2 linked regions of the Danio rerio genome follow. The protein of the gene in region 2 purifies or fractionates together with the protein of the main gene of each other region. This does not show direct contact. Links are inferred from orthologs where the notes say so. Each region holds a gene or a part of one and is shown on either strand. Other genes may lie near its edges.

The links.
Region 1: the proteins of bptf (region 2) and hmgxb4a fractionate together in Homo sapiens (co-fractionation; 3 studies listed by BioGRID, with this or other methods). This does not show direct contact. The link is inferred for Danio rerio from reciprocal best matches to the Homo sapiens genes BPTF and HMGXB4.

What each region holds. Positions count from the first base shown.
Region 1 is NC_133178.1:24,791,194-24,794,349, reverse strand, and holds part of hmgxb4a (HMG domain-containing protein 4a), read right to left. Parts: intron 2,939-3,156; coding exon of another isoform or gene 2,915-2,938; coding exon 2,705-2,914; intron 944-2,704; coding exon 768-943; intron 681-767; coding exon 599-680; intron 528-598; coding exon 463-527; intron 292-462; coding exon 189-291; intron 82-188; coding exon 1-81. UniProt on the Homo sapiens protein: Negatively regulates Wnt/beta-catenin signaling during development.
Region 2 is NC_133178.1:24,151,307-24,155,138, forward strand, and holds part of bptf (nucleosome-remodeling factor subunit BPTF), read right to left. Parts: intron 2,362-3,832; coding exon 2,179-2,361; intron 1,749-2,178; coding exon 1,563-1,748; intron 1,076-1,562; coding exon 927-1,075; intron 715-926; coding exon 383-714; intron 293-382; coding exon 161-292; intron 1-160. UniProt on the Homo sapiens protein: Regulatory subunit of the ATP-dependent NURF-1 and NURF-5 ISWI chromatin remodeling complexes, which form ordered nucleosome arrays on chromatin and facilitate access to DNA during DNA-templated processes such as DNA replication, transcription, and repair.

The sequences.
Region 1 (3,156 bases), about 640 kb from region 2:
GAGCTGGAGACAAAGACATGCCCAGAGACGAGCGGCCCTGAGGGGCCAAACCTGACCCTAAACTAAACGCTTTACTGGAGCCTGAAACAAACAGATACACAGGGATATTAAAGGAAATGTGTTGATGCGTGAGTCAGAATATGAAGTGTGCGAGACTGAAAACATGAACTGATATGCTTTGGTCTCACCTTTACTTTTACTGTCTGAGGTTGTTAAGGTTTTCCGCTTGACGGTCATAGCTTCAGCTTTATTCTGCTTGTGCTGGAGATATTGAGCTTTCTGTCTCCATACCTTCAGTGTCAGAAACGGCACAGAAAAACAGGATGTTCAGCAATGTCGCACATTCAACTGAAATTACAAACCTCTACCATCACTTTCAAGCACAAAAAGTCAACAATGTAAAATGTCTAACCCACTTATAAAAAGGTAGGTATTTAAAAGGTAGAGATAAAAAGCGCTGACCAGTTTATCTTTTTCCGGCAGCTGTTTCCACACCTCTGCGAGTTTCTTACTCAGCTCCCCGAAAACTGAACAAGATTCAACCAGTCACCAAACAGCACAAGATGATTGACAGCAGTGCACATGGGTTCTCTCTCACCTAATCCAGGCTGCTCTGCGTTGATATTGACCCTGTACTCTTTACAGAACACCTGATAGGCCGTCATGTTCTTCTTCTTCGGCTGATAGGATGAAGGAGAGAATATAATTAATGGTGAAATTCAAACCTCAAGTCGCTTCCAAAGCTGTAATAAAGTGATTTAGTTGACCTTGTCCTTGTCATGTTTGTCTCGCTCTTTTTCCTCCTTTTTCTTTTTCTTCTCGCCTATTAGTTCAATGCTTTGATGTTGATGCGATGAGGTGGGCGGAGCCATAGGGTACATGCCACCGGAAGAGCTGTGATTGGATGAGCTGTGAGTGTGGGAGTGGCTTCTAGGCTGATCCCCTGGTTTGCGCGGAGAGAAATTTAAATCAAACAAAAAGTGCTTCAGGGACAGGTAATGTGTCAGTGCACGTTGGATAAGGGATTCATAAAAATAAACAATAAAACTAATGAAAGTCCAAGGCACTCAAAAAGTATTCAAAAAGTATTAAAAAACAAAACTAGCCAATTTAGTGTTGAAGGTTTCATGGCTAAATTTGACCAGCCTGGTGGCCAATCTTCATTGATTGCACATTCCACAAGTAAGAGCAGAGTGTGATGGTTTAATTAGCAGAGTAAAGCTGCGGTCACACTTGACTTTTCTCCCCATAAACTTCCATTCATATGCACACGAATGCATCAGACCGGAAGCGCAGGGTCATGTGTCAAAAATCGCATCACTTGACTGCGTGAGACCAATCAAGGATCAGAACATGCCCTCTGGACAGAAATTTAAGACATGGAGCAATCGCTCACTTTTTTAATGTCTAAGTATCTTGTTTTAAGCCGCCCCTTTTCGCAGCGCCATACGACAGAATTTTGCACACACAAACTCTAGTGTGACCGCAGCTTAATAGCACAGTTTTACTTAAAATATTGCAATGCACATAACATTATGCGTGACATATCAGAGGTCAAAAAGAGGACAAATTGTTAGTGCATGTCTCGCTGGCACATCTGTCACCAAGACAGCAAGTGTTTATAATGTATCAAGAGCCACGGTATCCAGGCTAATGTCAGCATACCACCAAGAAGGATGAACTACATCCAAAAGGAGTAACTGTGGAACTGTCTGAAATGGACGACTGAGTGGTAACAGATTGTATTAAAAAAACATAAAACTGCAGCTGCCCAACTCACTGCAGAATTAAATGTGCATCTTAACTCTCCTGTTTTCACCAACGCTGTATTCAGGGAGCTCCACAGGGTGGCCAGGCTGCTATAGGCAAACCTTTGGTAACTCGTGGTAATGCCAAACGTTGAGAAAATCTTGGGCTATCGACAATGTGAAACATGTATTGTCCTCTGATGAGTACACCTTCACTGATTTTTCAACATCTGGGTTCTGCTTGTTGGGTGTGTCACTGCCAAGGACTAACAATACATTATGGAGGACCATGAGTACCCAATGGGTCAAACATAGTATACTGAAGGCAGTGCTGTGTGTCAGGATGATAATGCAACAATATACATAGCAAGACAGGTGACAGAGTGGTTTGATAAACATGAAAGTGAAGTTGAACATCTCTCATGGCCTGCACAGTCACCATATTCAAATATTATTAAGCCACTTTGAAGTGTTTTGGAGGAGCGAGTCAAAAACATTTTCCTTCACCATATCACATAGTGACTGGGCCAGTATTCTGCAATAATGGTTCAGAAACCCTCCAGCCACTGTGGACTTGTATCTCTCATTCCTAAGATGAATTAATGCTGTATTGGCTGCAAAAGGAGGTCCTACACCATCCTAATGAATCATTGTTGTCTAAAACCAGACATTTCAGTTTCATCGTCCAACCCCTGTAGTTCTCTAGGTAAATTGCATCAAGAATTTCAGACATTTTGTGTATTAATTGTGCAAATAAGGAATTATTTAATTGAATATGCACTCATTTGCATATATTTAAATACAAAAATCTGAACAATGAAAGAAATCAGGTTTAAAACTCGTGTTTTGATTTATGAGTATTTATTTTTTTATCACTCCATAGTTCAGAAAATACCATGACCAGCATTTTTTTTTTGTAGAATCCCTCACCTTAAGTAAACTTAAATGTGTCTCACCTTGACTGCTTTTCTTCCCTCCACTTCCTCCTTTGCTGTGTTTCTTCTCGCGGGATCCTTTCTCTCGATCTCGGTCTCGCTCTTTATCTTTTTTCTTTTTGCTTTTCTTGCTCTTTTTCTTCTTTTTGGAGAGACGTGTGTAGGAGTCGTCAATCACTAACTCTCCAGCCTCTAGTTCTCCTCCTGAAGATGAGCTCTCTCCTCCCATGCCTGCGTAAGACCCGCCATAATGACCTGCCGTTCATGTTGGAGAACAAAATATTTAGGATATGTTTACCACAGACCTTACTTTGCTCAAAAATATTTCTTTCATTAAATATTGAAGGACATTTGTCTATCATTCTTCTCCATCAAATGCAATAGGTTGTATTAATTGTTGTATTAAAGAGACAGTTCATCCAAAAAAATGTATTCTGTCATAATTTACTTAATCTTCACTTAGTTCAAACTTT
Region 2 (3,832 bases):
CATATTCCATGCATCTACACTCCATTTTGATTGTTTGCTTAATCTCCAATATTTTCTTACTGTATATCTAATACATTTGAAGAATAAAATTACTATTTCCCATCAAAATTGCATCAAACTTTGAGTTGTGCTTGTAGTATTTTCACTAATGTAAACTCACCTTGTGTGCCCTAAAGAATCCTTCCATACAGGTAGCATTACCACCGGTTTGATTGCACACTCCAGAATGGCCAAAGCTAAAGCAAACTCTCTTGCCTTGCTGCACATTTGGACAGCTTTTATCCAGTTTGACCTACAACAATAAAAAAAAGATCACAGAATTATTACTTAGTCAAATTGCTACATTCAGAATAAAAAAACATCCATGGGTACTCATCAAGACCTGTGTGATGCCCAGTTGGGATGCAAGAATGGAGCAGGAATATTGTTTTCCAGCTGGATGATGGTTAATCTCAGAGTGGATACAGTCAGAGCTTTTGAGCCATACAGTGATCCGTTCCACTTGAATTCACCAGCTGGGGTCATGCAGAGCTTGTGGGAGAGATGTCTGCGTTTGTCGTGGTCTTCTCGATGCTGATGCTTATTCAGTGCAAGTGTGTTAGTGCTGTACTGGTTGTGGTAGACACGAAACTTGCCCTCCTGGCCCAATTTGAAAAAGCCACTGCTCTTGCTTGAATCTCTCTTAAAGGTGCCAAAGGACGACAGCGGAGGAGTCTAAAAGAACATACAAATGATTTACAAAAACATGTAGATATATACTTTTAGCAGTAATTTCATATTTTTTTAAAGAAACTCAACATTAACTTTTTTTGGCTAAAGACCTCTGGTATCATTTGGTTAATTTGCACAATAGCAATACAAGTTCATGAATGAGCAAATATAACTAAACAAACAGAACATTATTTAAAAAAAGACAGTGGTCTCACCTCTTTAAGTGCTCTGCTACCATCCTGAGAGCTGCCATCTTTGTCCTGCATGACCTTGCGTTGGCTTAGCTTGCTATCAGGATTCCGGAGTCGTGTAATCATGCGTGAAGATGCTGTCTTTGTGCTGTCTCCATTAGCTTTGCCATCACCTAAAATAAAAACATTAATTTCAACATGTTATGTACATATGTACATTTTACATTGGTCAGGAATTTTTTTTCTATTGAAACCAATTCATACATTAACTCAGCTTCTATAGCTTTGATACAGTAGATAAAAAATGACAGCAAATTAATATTTCTAATTCAACATCCTGTGGGTTTATTTGTATCTCTTTCCAAAAACAATTCTACTGCCACTTTAAATAAAATCTCGATGATCATGTTTATGATTTATTAAAGTATAATTGTTGCACTGATATTTTTATTTTTTTTACTTCTGCAACAAGCTAAACCAGTCAAGCGGGTGAGATATTCTATACAGCACATAAAGCCTATTATTAATTCTACCGTCAAAGAAAGAGAAAGGAAAGGATTTCTTTGTAGAATAAGGGTAAATAAAACATTTGAATTGTCGAGTACACACAAACATTGTAAAACTAAAAAAAAAGATCTTTATTTCTGTGTGTGTAGACACCTGTGTCATCTTGGCTGTTGAGAGAGGATTGAGAGGATCGATCCACCAGATCAGGCTCATCTGGACCCCGTAGGCATTCAGAGATGGAGAAATGACTGCTGCAGCTGTTCTCATCTGCTGTCTGAGCTAGCTCAGCCTCCAGTACAGAATCCCCTTCCCCATGACAGGCACCCTCTGAGCTCTTACCTGAGGAGACACATTACAATAGTGATGTGTGACATCATGCCCATATTAACAACAGAACACATAATACATATAGGACATTTGAATTGAAAAAAAAAAAAATGAAGTACAGTAGCATCCCATTTCAGTTGTCACAAAACATTAATGCTGCAGTGAGTACCCAAATACTGTTATAAAACATGGTAAATCTTAAAACATTCTCTGTTAGTATGTTCTACCAAAGAAAATGGCAGACATCCAGTGCTGTTCTGTAAGCAGGAATACTGAACAAGGGTTACTGGGAACAGTACATGGTCTCTTGTGCCAGCAGGGCCTTTGATGCAGCACAATAAAACGGAAGATCTACTGTTAGTGTGGGTATGAACAGCAGTTCACAAAGGAGGCCTGTCTTAATGTAAAAAGAATGTGAAATTTTGGAAAGCACTCGCTGTACCTGTCAACTCTTCCACCCCATCAGTCCCTTCCCCTTTCTCCTCACCGCTGGAAGACGATGTCACAGCATTTCCTATCGGACTCTGCGAGTCCGGTTTTGTCTGTACGGTGGAGCTGGATGATGCCGCAATCTCAGGAACACTGGAACTGAGCACCTCACCAACTGGAACAGCAGAGACTGAAGCTAAAATTTGAACGGACACAAGAAACTGTGTTTAGTTTTCAAGATTATTTGGTGATACTTTCAAATGCAAATGATGAGGACTGTAGCAGCGTTTGAGAAGAGCCAAGATAACCACACTACAAGTATTCCAAAATATTGCAAAATTATGAAAACACCATCCAAATATTATCTTTACATAGATGCTCAATCGTTCTTAAAGGATCAGGAAAAAGCAAAACACATTTTCTGACATGTTGACAGTCATCTAAATGTGTCACGTTGCTAAAAACACTATTAGGACACATTTATTTCTCTAAAAAGTGAATACTGATTGTTTTTGAATTGTTTAGAGCAAATCCAATCTTCCGGTTCAACGTCAAGCAATGAGATCATCGTGTAGTTCCAGCGTAGAGATTGGCTGTCTGTACCAGCCGGTACAAAGTGACGTCCTTGAGTTTTCAGCACATCATAAATTCATTAGAAAGACTTGGTTCGAACCAATCAGGGTGCTCTATTGTGAACTTCAAAAATATGCATGATTTAGCTTCGAAGACTGTTTTTTAGGGATGTAACGGTATTGTAAATACCGTCATACCGCAAAAGCAATTTTTTCCGATATTACTGTAGTCGCATGACTCGATAAAACTCGGGGTTGGGGTTTGAGCGCGCATACTCAAGATCGGTGTTGTCGCGCGCCTACTGAAGGGCGGGACGGAGGGTGTGTCGCCTCGCGGGGGCACTTTTGATCATTTTGGAAGGGCACTTTCTATCCAAGACTAAAAAGGGCATGTGCACTGCACAGGTTGAGCCCTATGTGTGCACGTGCCTGCAAGTTGGGGAATACGACTAATAACAGTGATGGGGACTGCAGAAAAACAGCACACTGTTCAGATTGATGCAGACATTGACTTGTACCGCAAAGAGACCTGTATCTCACTCATGGCTTGTCCTCTAAAGTGGGGGAAAGACAATGCACAACGTCACCCACTGCTGTCAACCTGGGCCAAGTCATATCTCTGTCCCAGAAACCTCAGTCCCAAATGAGAGGGTTTTTTTCTGTTGCAGGGGATCCCAGAGATCCCAGTTTTTACCACATTATAGTTATATGATAATTTTCCGTAAAACCCATCTCTATCTAAGTGAGTGAGTGAGTGATTAAATGTTGAATGTGATGAGTTTTCAACAATAATAAATTGAAACTTTATTTTTTTACATGGTTTAATAATTTTTAGTTATTAAAATTGAAGTTCCTGTTTCAAAGCTTACAGATAGGCTAATTTGTATGTCATTGACACTTTTGGCGCTTTTTTGGAGTATTTTCATAAGTTTTGTTTTTCCTGTAAATGATTCAATAAATACCGTACCGTGACATTCATACCGAGGTATTACCGTACCGTGAAATTCTGATACTGTTACATCCCTACTGTTTTCACCTGTTACATGTTCAGAGAGACGCCACGTGTTGCCAACCGTAATTCAAACTAATAAGAGT